Diceros bicornis minor: one gene and its partner. The protein of the gene in region 2 interacts with the protein of the main gene of each other region in a pairwise test. Links are inferred from orthologs where the notes say so. Each region holds a gene or a part of one and is shown on either strand. Other genes may lie near its edges.

Region 1 (7,704 bases), on a different chromosome or scaffold from region 2:
AGAAAAATGGGCAAAATATATGAATGGGAAATTCTCAGAAAATGTGCTCATACTCAATCATAATAAGAGAAAAGCAAATTAAAACCACACTTGGATACATTTCCCATCTATCAGACTGGGAAAAAGGACACCCAGAATTTTGGCAGCTCACTGTTGGCAAGGCTATGGGAAGAGAGCACTCTGTTACATCAGTGGGCATGCAATATGGAACAACACCCCGGGACCATCTCCAGCCAAGCTGCATGTGCATTTCCTCTTTGCCCAAACAATCCCACTTTTAGGACTCTATCCCAAAGACATGCTGGGTGAAATACAAGTTGTGGGACCTTGTACAAAAAACAACTAGACCGTGTTCTTCAGAAGGTGAATGCCGGGAGGGTGGGGACTGTTTTAGATTACAAGAGACAACCAAATGCCATGCAGGGTCTTGATTGAATCGTGGATTTTTTAAAAAGTGTTTGAAAGTACATTATTGGGACAACTGGGGAAATTTGTATATTGGGGGATATTACTGTATCTTTGTTAAATTTCTTTGGTGGGAGAATGGCATTGTGGTTAGGTGGGAAAATGTTCTTGGAGGGTGTGTGTTGAAATATTAAGGGTGATATCTGCAGCTTACTTTCAGAGAGTTCAGGATGAGAGAGAATAAGGTAGAAGGGGCACGGATGGAAGCCAGACATCTCTGAATGTACATGGTTTCATACTTTTGACTGTGGAAACATCTATTTTTCATAATTTAAAAAAATGAGAAAAAGAAAGAAATCCCTAAAAATTCAAAACAAGCTGAAACAAATGAACCTAACTCTATATGAAGTTGGTGGCACAATTGTTTCAGATAAGAATTTTTTCAGATGATATTAACACACAATCCTTTCATTCGATGCCTCTAGTGGCACATATATCCTAAGAGAAAAAGAACTGCAATAAAATCTTAAACTGCATGCAGCAGTCTTGTTTGTAATAATATTGGTATTTTATTTTGATAAAAATATATAGTTTAAAATTGAGAGCTTACATTATATATTTTGAAATTATATATTAGACTAAAGCAAATAAGTGGTTTAGCTCGTGTTACTGGAGACCAATATTTTTAATGTAAATGAAAAGAGATACAGATACAAAATCAAAGAAGGAAACACCCTATAATCTTTCATTTGAATGAGAAATATCAGAATGAACTTATGGGTTTTTGTCTTTCTAAAAAATATATATTCCCCGGGGCTGGCCTGGTGGCATAGTGGTTAGGTTTGCGTGCTCAGATCCCAGGCATGGACTTAACGCGCTGCTCATCAAGCTATGCTGTGGTGGCATCCCATATATAAAGTAGAGGAAAATGGGCACAGATATTACCTCAGAGACAATCTTCCTCAAGCAAAAAGAGGAGGATTGACAACAGATGCTAGCTCAGGGCCAATCTTCCTCACCAAAAAAAATATATATATATATTTGCCTAGCTAAGTCCACAGAAAAGGTCTAGATAGAATGACAACCCAGTAACAATGAGTAACCCCAATGCCCAGATTGTGGTCTCTAAATACTACTTCTGACTAGAAGGAATCAGGGATCCTTGGGACAATAGCTGATTCCAGATCTAGGGCAGGACATGTGCAAAATGAGCATGGGGCATCTTGTGCCAGAAAGCTAGGAAGTCCCCCAAGACTACTGGGATTGAGTCAAAGGACTCAGGAGTCAATGTGAAGAGACTGCCACTGGCTAAATATGGGACATTTTGAGCAGCAATAAGAATGACAGCAATGATTTGAAGCACATAAATATGTTTGAAAATGTACATTTATATTGATACTTATACAAACATACCTCATTGGTCACCTTTGAAGGGTGCTAGGAACCAATTCACTATTTTGAAAAGTTTTTTTTCACAAAATAGGGAAAGAATCAAGCATGTTCTCTGTCTTGTACGTAAACAAGTAACCAAATTCCTGATGAGGAGGAAGTTATTTACAAAAGAATCACTAATAATTGCAGAGAGAATGATAAAATTTGAAAACTACTATTTTCCATACATTAATGAAGTAATGGATACAGATCATGATCAAGGGCTGCTAAAACTATTCATGGAAAGGTTGATTGGCCTTCTTCCAATGGATGGAACAGGATGACAAGGCTGATCAATTTTGGCATTGCCAAAGGAGGACAACTAGACATCAGGTGCTCCTGATGGGATATAATAGGATACAATGGGATATGTTACAACAGCACTACCTACAAAGTCTCCTTTCACCAAATTAAACGTAAATTGAATCCAGCTTCTAGCTGTCACTACAATATATAAGAAAGGGGGAGGGGCCAATGAGGAACAAGTGAAACAATGTAACTAAATCCAAAATGTGAGACATCCTATAGGACAATTGATCCAGTTTCTTCAACAAATAGAAGGCAAAAAAGGGGGCAGGGAGGAGAAAGAAAGGAAGGAAAGAGGGAGGGAGGGAGGGAGAAAGGAAGAAAAAGATAGGGGAAGGGAAATTTATAGATTAAAAAAGACTTAAGATTTTAAAGCTGGAACAATTTGAGGAACAAAATAACTAAAGTAGTATTGGATTATAACCCTAAGTATAAGATATCCATGAATCTATACTCATATAAATGACTTAATAATTAAATAAAGGGGTGAGAATAGGTAAATCCCCTGTGCAGAAGAATTCCAAATAATTTATGTAGATACTCCACTCTCAAGAAGGTGGAGCTTAACTCCTCACCCCTTAAGTGTGGGCTGTGCATAATGACTTCCTTCCAAAGAGCATGAAAAAGGAGTAAAACAAAAGTAACTTTATAGTGGAGAAACCTGACAAATGCTACCTTAGCCAGGAGATCAAAGTTAACATCAACAGTGGTAAGTCATGTTGATAGTATGTACCCTTGATATGATATGATGAGAATTGCACTTTACCTCTATAGTCTTCTCCCCAAAATATCCATAACCCCCAGTCTAATGATGAGAAAAACATCAGACAGATCCCGAATGAGGAACAGTCTACAAAATACCTGACCAGTACTCCTCAAAACTGTCAAATTCATGAAAAACAAGGAAAGTGTGAGAAATTGTCACAAGCAAGAGTAGCCTAAGGAAACATGACAACTAAATGTAATGTGGTATCCTGGATGGAGTGCTCAGACAGAAAAGAGAGAATAGGTAAACACTAAGGAAATCTGAATAATGTATGGTCTCTAGCTAATAATAATGTTGGGAAAAAAAAGGCTTCCTATTCTCTTATCACATCTCTAGCACAGAAGCAAACAAAAGCCAGTATTTAACAAGCATTCATTCATGCTGATTCAGACTGGGACCTCAAGAAACCAAGTCACCCAATAAAATTAAGCTTTAACAGGAAAAATAAAAACCGACCAACCAACCAAATGCAATGTGTGGACCTTATTTGGATCCTGATTTTACAATACCAGTACTATTGTATAAAGACATTTTTTTTTAATAATTTTATTTATTTTCCCCCAAAGCCCCAGTAGATAGCTGTAGTCATAGTTGCACATCCTTCTAGTTGCTGTATGTGGGACACAGCCTCAGCATGGCTGGAGAAGCAGTGCGTCGGTGCGTGCCCGGGATCTGAACCCCGGCCACCAGTAGCGGAGCGCGCAGACTTAACCACTAAGCCACGGGGGCCAGCCCTATAAAGACATTTTGAAGCAGGGAAAATTGAACACAGCCTGAGTGTTAGATGATACTAAGAAATTAATTTTCTTGGATGTAAAAATGCTGTTTTTGCTTTTAAATAGTCCTTATCTGTTAGAGAGACATCATGAAGCATTTATGGGTGAATTGATAGATGTCCGGAATTTGCTTTACTATACTCCAGCAAAAAAATAAAAATAAGTATAGATGAAACAAGAAGGGTAGAACATTAGTAATTGTTGAGAGGTACATGGAGGTTCGTTATATTATTCTCTCCACTATTGTATTTTTTTAAATACTCATAATAAAACATTTTGAGGACTACAAAACAAAGGAGGGGTCAGCTATGTCCCAAGAAAGAGCGCAGAGACCAAACCGACACACGTGACCTTCTGAGCTGACGCATTTGACTACTGTCTCTCGGCCTTTGCATGAACTATTCCTCCTACCCCGAGTCTCTCCCCCTATTTTCATCCAGCAAGTTTTGAGTTGTCACCTCCTCCAGGAAGCCTGGATAATGCGCCGCCTCTGAGCTTCCCACATCATGTCCCCGATCTTTCTGGGAGTTACTGTCTGGTAGCTGTCTGTCTGCCCCAGAGTGGAGCGCACGGCCCCCAACTGTCTCCCGCCTCGCCCAGCTCTGAGCTGATGAGCACTTCTGTGTGTTTTAAAACTCCCCGAACGGGCCTCGCGGTAGCACGGCAGTGGCCTCCGAACCTTCCTGAGCTCTCAAACGTCCGGGTTCCCCTTTAGAGACCGGGCCAATAGCCTGTACGGCACTCTTATTAGCCTAGGTTCCTCCTTGAAGGCGTGGCCGCCTTGCTTAGACGCACTCTCATAGCCCCAGGTTCTTCCATTGGCTCGTTTTTCCAGCACTCTGATTGGCCTATATTCTTCTCTGCGGGGGGCTCTCTGGATTCTCATTGGCCCGCTCTCCAAAGGCCCTCCCCCCGTTGGCGTATGATGTAGTGCTCCGGCGCCCTCGCTTTCGCCGCTACGTCATCCGCGGGCGTCCACCTTGACGAAGGCAGAGAGTAGACAGCGGAACCGGCGGAGGAGGCTGAGCCGAGGCGGTAGTAGCGGCGACAGCGACGGCAGCAGCGATGGCCGGGGCGGGGCCAGCCCCGGGGCTCCCGGGTGCGGGAGGACCTGTGGTCCCGGGCCCTGGCGCCGGCATCCCGGGCAAGAGCGGCGAGGAACGCTTGAAGGAAATGGAGGCGGAGATGGCCCTGTAAGGCCCGCGACAAGGCGCGATAAAAGCCGTCCCGGAGCCAGAGCCGCCGAGCCCTGGAGCTTCCAGGCCGCGATAGGCCCGACATCTGGCTCTGTCATGGGGAAATGGGTCCTTCCGGACTGTGGGGGCGGGAGTGAGAAGGAGAGGTTGGCGGGGCTGCAGGCGCATCGCGATGTACCCAGCGTTCCAGAATTGGTGCAGGGTCCTGAGCTGTGGTGTCTGTCCTGCTCCCCCAGGTTTGAGCAGGAAGTTCTGGGGGCTCCGGTAACCGGAATCCCGACTGCGGTGCCCACGGTCCCCACGGTAGAAGCGATGCAGGTCCCAGCAGCTCCTGTGATCCGCCCGATTATCGCGACCAACACATACCAGCAGGTACGGCCGAGCTAAGGCATGTAAGTCAGAGAGCACAAGGCTTCGAACACGGGAAGTGTTTGTACACGGAGAGCTGTTGACATGTTGGCTTGTTGATTAATTAGCGTGACAAATATTTTATGTGCCACGCACCGAAAATACAGTAATGACTAAGACAGACCATATTTCTGCCCTGTTGGTGCTTGTATTCTGGAGCATGTTGTCCCGTAGAACTTTCTGCAATGATGGAAATGTTCTGTGTCTATTTAAAAGTTACATTTAAGTTAAATAGTTACTCAGTCTCATTAGTCACGTTCAAGTGCTCAATAGCTAGCTGTATATCATTAGTGGAGAGAAACTACTTAAGAAAACAAGTAAATGAAACTTGTTCATTCTGTCGACAAATAATTATTGCCTTCTATGCACCAGGCACTCTTCTAGGTATTAGGCGTATAGCAAAGAACAAAACAGAAGAAAACAATCACTACCTTTCTGGAGTTTACGTTTTACTAGGGAGACACAGGTCAAAGTAAAGCAAGAAGAGCAGAGGTTTATCAGCGCCATCAGGGAAGCCTTTCTGAGGAGGTGATATTTAAGCAAAGATATAAAGGACATGATGGAACCATGGAGATATCTGGGGGAAGCGCATTCCCAGGAGAGAGAACTGCCAGTGCAAGGCCCATGAGGCAGGTGCATCCCTCACATGTGGAAGGAACAGCAGGGAGAACAGCATGGCTGGAGTGGAGTGAGCAAGGGGGAGAGTGGGAGGAGGTGAGGACAGAGAGGTGATAGAGACCAGATCTCGTAGGGCCTTGTGGACCACCATAAGGACCTTGGTTTTTACTCTGAGATGGGAAACTGTTGAAGGATTCTGAGTAGAGGGGTGATATGGTCCAACTCAGATGTTAATAGAGTCGCTCTGGCTGTGTTTGGAGAGCAGACTCTGGGGGCAAGAGCAGGATCAAGGAGACTGAGGAAGAGGCTACCATAATCTAGGCAAAAGATCTAGAGTGGTGGCATGGGAGGTGGAGAGGACAGGCTGGACATAATTTCAGGTACTGCTAAGTGCTTTGGAGAGATAAAGCAGGATGATGAGAGAAGTTTCTACTGGGAGGGACTAAGGACAGCTTTAGCTAGGGTGATCCCAAAAGCGTCCCTGAAAAGTGGCATTTTAGCTAAGACCTAAAGGTTGACAGCTAGCCAGCTCCACACAGAGTGCAAAGAATGAAAACCTGTGCCCTCCGAGGGTGAGTCAGCCAGGGCAGCGTGGGGACACTGAGTCAGGCCCCTCACCCAGCCTCCTCCCCAACAGGTCCAACAGACTCTGGAGGCCCGGGCAGCAGCTGCAGCCACTGTGGTTCCTCCCATGGTGGGTGGTCCTCCTTTTGTGGGCCCAGGTAAGTAAGGAGTGGTGGGGTGAGGGAGCCAGGGGATGAGGCGGGTGGTGAAAAGGGATGCCCGGACTCCTCCCACCGTCCTCATCTCTCCCCTCCCAACAGTTGGCTTTGGCCCTGGTGATCGGAGTCACCTGGACAGTCCAGAGGCTCGAGAAGCCATGTTCCTGCGGCGAGCAGGTAGGTCTGGGGCGAGGGAACTTCACATCTAACCAAGCACTCTTGTTTCGACTACTTCAGCCTCTTGCCTAGATCATTGCTGTAACTCACCCTCTTTATTTCATCCCCACCCTGATATTGTCATCTTCCTAAAGCACAAACCTGATCATGTACTTCATCAGTTTGGCTTTAGTGAGGCTTAACCTGGTCATTGCAAACCAACCTCCTTCCTGTCCCTCCTAGTCCCTACCCTTTGCCATGTTTCTCCATAGCACTTAATACCTTATAACAAGCTATACAGTTTACGTATTTGTTGTGGTTATCATCCTTTGTTTCCTTTATTTTTTTTTTTTTTGTGAGGAAGATCAGCCCTGAGCTAACATCCATACTAATCCTCTTTTTGCTGAGGAAGACCGTCTCTGAGCTAACATCTATTGCCAATCCTCCTCCTTTTTTTTTCCCGCCAAAGACCCAGCAGATAGTTGCCAAAGCCCCAGCAGATAGTTGCACGTCATAGTTGCACATCCTTCTAGTTGCTGTATGTGGGACGCAGCCTCAGCATGGCCAGAGAAGCGCTGCGCCGGTGCGCGCCCGGGGTCCGAACCCGGGCCACCAGTAGGGGAGGGCGCACACTTAACCGCTAAGCCACAGGGCTGGCCCCTTTGCTTCCTTTAAAACATAAGTTCCATGAGGGGCTGAAGTCTTGGTGCCTGCCCCATAGTAAGCATTACTTGCTCTCTGTTGATGGGATGAACAAACCATTGAGCAAGCGCCCAGCTCCTCACCTGGCAGTCAGGACCGTGCCTCTCCTGGCCCCTTGCAGAGAGAGAGATCCCCACGCACCCTAAACGTTGCTGGGGTGTGCCAGCAGTGCTCTTGTTGAGGGCCCTTCTCTCCCCTGCTGACTATCACCAACTTTA
Region 2 (7,726 bases):
ATAACGCCATGAGCAGAGGGAGGTAGGAAAGAGAGGTCAAAGTCAATAGCGGGGTTTGTGTCAGAGCAGCTGGCTTTATAGTCCTAATGAGGCTTAAACATCACAGGGTCCTCTTTGGCTGAACTCAGTTTCTCATGGGGCTCTGTATCTGCTCCTGGATCAGCCAGCCACATGGCAGGAGTGGCTTCCACTTCCTCTGGCCGATGAATTATCAAGGGTATTCTCCGCCTTTCTTTTTTGGGAAAAGAAAGCTTTGGAGTAGAAAATGCTCTCTTCTATTTATATCTGCTCTTCTCTCGCTGATTAGAGAGATGATACATTTGGGGGAAGGACTCAGGCCCTGAATGCACTCTTCTTTATTTAGAAGAGGGCATGGTTAAGATAGCATTTCTAAGATCATCTGCTCTGCTCTGGGTCTTTATCTGTTCTTCCAGGGGCCATGAGAGATATAGGGTTGACTTTTTGAATATTTTCAGGATTGTTGGAATAGCCACATATTTTGTGTCAAGCTCTGTTCGCAATGTTAGGGAAACAGAAATTGAGTAAGGGATTAAGAAAGTGCTCATTTTCTCAAAGAGCTTATAGATACAAAGATTTGTACCACCAGCTTGTCTGATGGCTGCTGGTAACCAGAGTACTGGGTTAACAATGACTGGCTTTTGACTAGATCTGTCATAAGATCTATTATCTCCTAAGGTCCCATAATAGCCCTGTGGCTAGGTGCTCCAGCACCCACTCACCTCTCAGTCTCAGTTTGGGGACCACAGCTGGTCCTGACTCCAAACCCCGTGCTAGGGGTCTTTATCGGGGTTTCTCCTGGTGAACAGTGCTGAACTCCTCCTAAGCCCTCGCAGGCACACAAGAACTTGCTCACTTTTTATCAGAAACCATATCCTGGGAAACTCCCCCTCATTTTTAAAGACCCAGATCAAACATAACATTCTGGGTGAAGCTTGTCCTGTCTCCCTCCGGCACGGGGAGCTCCATCTTCCTATAGCTCCTATAGCTTGTGGCACATAGAATAGTCATATTAATAAACATAATAGGAGTAATAATAGTAGTAAAAAGGTCTAAGTTACCATTTATTGAGTGTGTCTATGAGCCAGGTGTCATGCTAAGTGCTTTGCATGCATTATTCAACGCTCAGAAGAACCCCAGGGGCCATACTATGATAATCCTCGGTTTACAGATTGTATCAGGCAGGAGTTGAGTTTGGCTGCATGTAGAAACCTGTCCACAGAGGCTTCACCAAATGGGAACTTATTTTGCTCAAATAACAATACATTAGAGGTAGACGGGCTAGGGCTGGTATGGTGGCTCCACAATACCATTCCTAGAACGTAGCTTTTGTTACTGTGGACACAAGACGTCTGCTGTTTTCCCAATCTGTGTTCCAGGAGGGAGGAAGGCTAGAGACAAAGGGCAAAGGATGAAGGGCAGAGTGCCTTTTCTTCTTGTGGTTTTGTCTTACTAGTTGGGAAGGAATGCTGTCCCCTACCTACATCTCACTGGCCAGAATGGGGTTACATAGCCACCCTTAGCTGCCAGGGAGCCCGAGAATTCTTTTTTTTTTCCCTCTTATTAAAGCTGGGCAGATTTGTGCCCTGAACAAAATTGGGGTTCTGCTAGTAAGGAATTAGAGGAGAATGGATACTACATTGGGAACTACCAGTGCTTGTCACACAAATGAAGAAACTGGGCCTTAGAATGCTAATGATCTTGTCCAAGGTCAGACAGATGGCCAAGTTAGACTCAAAACCATGTCTACTTGACACCAGATTCCATGCTCCTGTCCACTAAGAGAGATGACCTCCTGATCATGATGCATTACAATTGTCTTTTTATTTGATCATCCCTTCCCTAGACTGTGAGCTTCTCGGTGCTAGGAATCAATTTTATTCACCTTGGTACCCCAGACTGGTGCCCATGGTTTGTCAAATGGAGAAATGAATAAATGTTAGGACTTCAGTAGTTTCTGTAGCTAAAAATTCTTTCTAGGAAAATATTCAATTGTCCTCCTCCTCTGTGATGTTTTATAACCACCTGTTCCCAAACAGGTAGCTGCAGAAGTATGTGAAAGCAATGACCCTGATCTTTGTGCCATGGGCACATTTGGCCTCTTCTACTATTCATAGGCTTCTATGCTCTCTCTCCCTAAGTGCTTAAAGCTTGTTTACAGGGCAGGGTCCAGTTTTTCTTTGTTCTGCCTGGTCATTCAAACATTGCTATATCCCATCGCTCTATTTCTTAGGGACATGTGTGCTACTTGAGTAACAATAATTTGAGTCACAAGCAGTCCCGACCCCAAATATCATCTCTTGCTGGGTCATGGAGCAGCCCAAAAAGGACCAGTTGGATTCCAGTATTTTGGCAAGGCAGGTAGGGAGGAGAGGAGAATTCTTAAGACACTAGTTTGGAATGTAAAATTTTTAGAAAACCAACCACTGATGTCCTTAGGTTAAAAAAAAAAGTCATTGTTGTTCTGTAGGCCACCTGGAAAATCCTGATTTTTCTTCAAAGCCATGATGCTTGGTTGGACAGAATCAAGCCCATCTGCTGTGGGGTACTGCCCACAGGGACTCCTGACTTCAGCTGGGGCTGCCTAATTCAGCTGAAGAACAAGCTTGCAGGCACTTGGACTTCCAACTTACTGGCCCAAACAGCAGATTAAGAGATGCCTGGGCTTCTCTTTCCACTGCATTGCCCCCTAACCAGTAGCTTACTATCATTAAACACATTAGATGATAAATATTTACCACTTATTAAGCAGTTACTATATGTTAGGTGCTGTGCTAAGCGCTTTATTTTGTCCCATTTAATCCTTAGAACAATACTGTGACTATTATTGTCATCTTACCGACAAGGAATATAAGGCTTAGTGAAAATAAATGATTTGCCCCACATAGTGGTTGCAGCAAAGGGTGACTTGGGGAGCTTTGTCTGCCCATCCTAATCTCTAGCAGCCCCACAGAAGCCACCTTATGTAATTCAAAAACCCAATAGTAGTGATAATGATATTCTTAGATATCCTCAAACAATCCTTTCAGGAAAGTACTATTATTATCCTAATTTTCAGATGAAGAAACTGAGGCATAGAGAGGCTAAGTAGCTTTCACAAGGCACCATGACTTGTAAGCGGCAGAGCTAAAACTTGGCTATTTTTATTGATCTATAACACAGCCTAGGTAAAAACAGCGTGCTCACTATGAAAACTCAGCTTCAAGACAAATCCTCTTGTCTTCCTTTCCAACTAGCCTGCAGGCCCTAAACCCCTTCTATATAGAAATTCCTAACTCATCACTGGTCCAACATCACATAGCAGGTGGTAAAGCTTGGATTCAAACCTGGCTTGGTCTGACTCCAAAGCAGGGATCTTTACCACTGTACTGTTCCAGCACCAGTCAGGTTAAATCCAAGTTCAAAAGACAAATTGTTGACCCATCTGGAAATGGCCCTAGAAATCATCTAACCCAGGGTTTCTCAACCTCAGCACTATTGACATTTGGGGCTGGATAACTGTTGTGGGGACTGCCCTGTTCATCACAGGCTAGTGAACAACATTTCTGGCCTCTACCCACTAGATGCTGGCAGCAACCTCCAGCCTGGAGACATTTTTGGGGGGAGAGGGAGAGGGAAGGGGGCAAAATCATCCCTGGTAGTGAACCACTGATCTGAACCATCTCCTCATTTTTCAAATGATGCAGCAGGGGTTCAAAGAGATGAAGTAACTCGTGTAAGCTAGTTAGTAGAACCCAAGTGGCTCATGCAACATCATATCTCCCTATAAAGTACAGGGAACAATGCGGAACCCAGAGAAAACAGATGCCCTCTTGGTCCTTACAGTCTGGTAGGAGACAGAAGCTATTACACGAACATCTCTACTTGCATGAAGTTGATAAGCTGTACAGGCAGCAAGATGTAGAGAAAAAGAATATGATCTGGTGTCCTGAGATCTGGATCTGCCACTTTTCAGCTGCCGGACTTAACTAAGCTTCAGGTACATCATTAGTGAAACGGAGACCCTGGTATCTATACCATCAGCTTCAAAACGGGTCTGTGAACGCACTGTGTAAACCGTAAAGCTCCTACAAACATCAGGTATTATTAAGATGATCAGGAATGTGATGATAATAATAATTATGATTAGAGTAAAAGCTTTCAGAAATGAGGAGAGCCATGTAGTGGTGGCTTCATTCCTGGACCTTCCAACCGGAGATCCCCATTCTTCTGCGGGAGAAGGAACAGGCAGAGTTCCCTCCCACAGAGAGCCTCTTCCTTCGCCTGAAACCAACGTGGCCCTTGAACTCCGTACAACTCTGCCACCCTGCCCTCAGGCCTCTCAAGCTCCGCCCGCCGCAGGCTGCGGCCCCGCCCTTAAAGGAAACAGACCCCGCCCCCTCCGCGCTGGCTGGAACTCCGGCGGCGCCAGGCCTCCAAGACAATCCGTCGCCCGTGCCGGAGATTCCCGAACTCTCCCGATCTCTTCCCGGCCTCTTTCGGGCGCCCGGAGCGGAGGCGGCGGAGATGGCCGAGGGGCGCTGGCCCCGCCCCCTCACTCCCCCTCCCGCCCCGCCACCGCCTCCGGCGCGGGCTGGAGTCCCAGATCCCGGTCCCTCCCTCGTCCTTTCTCTCTCCCCGCCTTCCCGGTGCTGCCAGAGTGGCGGGTCGGAGGATCCCGGCCAGTCAGCTCGGTCCTGCCTCGGGCCCCTCCTCCCCCCACATCAACACCCCTCCCCACGCCTCGGGAGCGGGACCGCCCCCTTCCTCCCTCGGCCGGCGTGGGGTGAGGGCCGGTGTGAGGGAGCCAGCGCGGGCGGGCGGGCTCCGTGAGGGCGAGAGGCGGGGCGCGCGGCGGGCGGGCCGGGGGCCGCGTGTGCGCGTGGGGCGCGAGCGAGAGCCCGTCGCGACCCGCCGGCGGCCCGGAGCCGAGGAGCCGGCGAGCGACGAGCGGCGACCGCCGAGCGCGGAGGGGCGCCGGGCCCGCGCGCGCGCGCACGCACGCACGCAGGCGGGGGCGGGGGCAGGCGCGCGGCCGCCTGTCGCGACAGTCGGGGCCGAGGCCCAGGGGGAGGTGGCCTGTCGCGGGTCGCCCGGCTCCCGGAGGCGAGGGGGGCGCGGGCGGATGGCGGAAGGCGCCCAGCCGCAGCAGCCGCCTCAGCTCGGGCCCGGCGCCGCTGCCCGGGGGATGAAGCGGGAGTCGGAGCTGGAGCTGCCGGCGCCCGGAGCGGGAGGAGACGGAGCCGAGCCCGGCCTGAGCAAGCGGCCGCGCACCGAGGAGGCGGCGGCCGACGGCGGCGGCGGGATGCAGGTGACCGCGGGGGTGCGGCCGGGGCCGTGAGGGTGGCGCGGGGCTCCGGGGCTGGACGGGGGCGGGCTTCCCGGGGTCCCGGCTCGGAGGTGGGAGGGGCGGGTCGGGGCCTGGTTGGGAGGTGGGGCGCCCTCCGGCGTGGAGGCAGAGGGTGCAGGGACCCCGGTGTGCCCGCCAGGGTCCTGATTCCAGAGAGGACGAGGGGCACGACGCGTGACTGGGTTTTGGGGGGAAATCGAACATGGTTGAGATGGATTCCATTTGTCCCAACCCTTCCTGGGTTACTTGGCGGGGAGTGGAAGCCGGGAGATCCTGGGTCTGTTGCCCAGAGAGGCGCGGGACTGAGTGGAGGACGGGGGGACAGTGGTGGGAAACCTCCCAAGAAGGAGGAGTACCTTTGGCACTCTCGACACCCGCTGGCATGGGGAAGGAGCGGCATATAAAGGAGAGGCGTGGAAAGCGAGAAAACTCCTCGAGAGCCCAAAGGGGATGTGGCTTAGATTGTGGGTTAAATTAGTTACAGAGGAGGGTGGGAAGTACAAGGAGTTGGGTAGTGCTGTGGGGACACCGTGGTGCTCGGTCTCATTAACTTTATGGAGCCTGCTAATGAGTCTGAAGAGAGACACAGAACATGCCCCTCCTGTACTGTGCCAGTTGTATCTTAGCCCAGCTCTTTAATGTCCTGGGGTGTAAAAGAAAATTTATAGGGCTGTTAGAGGACTGGATTCTGAGTCGTGAACCCAAGCATGATCTGGTTGATTGGGCAGGGAATGGGAAACGGAGTTATGATGTCAGTTGACTTTGTAGTTTGAGGAAGAGCGTGAAACCTTTGTAGATTTTAGGATTTGATCTCTGTTCAGAAAATACTTGCTATGAAGTGGTGGGGCTCACCTACCAGCAATTGTGTAGACATCTGCCTAATTCTTCAAATCAGAGAATGTTAGAGACAGAAGAGACCAGAGACCTCATCTTTTCCAGGGGTTCTTAGCCTGGATAGACTTGGAAGATTCTTGTGCAAAAATAGTTTACGTGCACTTTTTGGTGGGGGAAAGGCAAGAGTTGTCATCATCTTTTTGGTTTGTTTTTGGAGGGGATTCAAGTCCCCAAATGTTTTAACCACCTCCTTTTTTAGAGGGGGAATGCAAAGTCCAGAGAAGACTAGTGACTTGCCAAAGACTACCCAGTGAGCTGGTAGTAAAACTAGAACTAGAAGCCGAGTCTTCTAATTCCTACTCCTGTGCTCTCTCCATTACACCGCTCTTGGAAATCTCTGCAGCGCTAAAAGACTTCCTGTGCTCTGCTCCCTGCTCTGGAAGGCTCTGCCTGACTTCCTGTGTTAGAGAGGGAGCTCTATGGAAGCCTGGCATGTTTGCTGTGTTCTTCTTGGTCTCCTGGCAGAGGCCACTCTGTTACTTGTGTTGATTTGGGTAAAGTGACCCTCTTGGTGTTTATTTTTGAATTCTTTTGTTTTGTTGGCCTGCTTTTGTTCTCCATTAGAACTCTGTCAGACAGAGGGATTGTGAGAAGTAAAACTCAGGGCCATGGAGAAAAGAGAGAGAATATGGGGAGACTTCAGGTGAGGTGGGTTAACATTGGATGATAAGGAGAGAAGAGTGGATGTGGGTGCTAGTGAGCATGTTCCGCTTGGCGTGTGCATATATATCTATGTGTTCATGTATTGTTTCTGTCAATCATGGTTAATAGTGAGACTCTGCCTCTCTTACCCCCCTCTTTCCTCCTGGGGCCCATTATTTGCTGGTTGCCTTCAAATTGGCTAAGGATAGTACTATTTGGAAATGGAGCAGTGTATGGGGACTTTGGAGTATGCAGAGGAAGGAGTGGATTAGGTCCTTTGGGTACAAATGGGCAACTTAGAACTATCCCACAGAGAATCCTTTTTTCACTCTGTGTTTTTGGGGATCTTTATTTATTTTTCACTTTGTGCATTCTCATTGTCGCAGTTCTAACGCTCCATGTCACACAGGTATTCAAATCATCATTGATTTAGCCCCCTGCCTTCAACTAGCTGTATGTTTCTGGGAAAATCCCTTCTTTTTGGGCTTCTGCTTCCTTAGTTGTAAAATAAAGTTTGTACAGGATGATTTCTAAGTTACCTTCTAAAAAATACGTCAAGTTCCCTGACCTTAAGGTACTTGGTGCTTACAATCTAGGTGGCCAGACAAAAGGGTGAAAAGTTAAAAAAGGTGTGTGTGTGTGTATATATATATGTGATTTTTTTTGTAAGTTCCAGAGGAAGAGGAGAGGAGATACCACAGGGTAGATGCATGTCACAAGGCATTGCATAATTTAGAGCCAAAGTATGCAGAGGACTTGTGCCACGGAGTCCAGAAGAAGGAGGTGGAGGGGCCGGCCCAGAGGCGTAGTGTTTTAAGTTTGTGCGCTCCGCTTCGGGAGCCC

What was found. The genes of interacting proteins can lie anywhere in the genome.
Region 1: the proteins of RBFOX2 (region 2) and RBM42 interact in a two-hybrid assay, tested with the Homo sapiens proteins (2 studies listed by BioGRID and IntAct). The link is inferred for Diceros bicornis minor from reciprocal best matches to the Homo sapiens genes RBFOX2 and RBM42.

Annotation. Positions count from the first base shown.
Region 1 is NC_080773.1:8,933,642-8,941,345, reverse strand, and holds the start of RBM42 (RNA-binding protein 42), read left to right. Parts: upstream 1-4,656; 5' UTR 4,657-4,749; coding exon 4,750-4,877; intron 4,878-5,116; coding exon 5,117-5,252; intron 5,253-6,543; coding exon 6,544-6,628; intron 6,629-6,730; coding exon 6,731-6,805; intron 6,806-7,704. UniProt on the Homo sapiens protein: Binds (via the RRM domain) to the 3'-untranslated region (UTR) of CDKN1A mRNA.
Region 2 is NC_080764.1:13,676,287-13,684,012, forward strand, and holds the start of RBFOX2 (RNA binding protein fox-1 homolog 2), read left to right. Parts: upstream 1-4,672; 5' UTR 4,673-5,122; coding exon 5,123-5,308; intron 5,309-7,726. UniProt on the Homo sapiens protein: RNA-binding protein that regulates alternative splicing events by binding to 5'-UGCAUGU-3' elements. Prevents binding of U2AF2 to the 3'-splice site.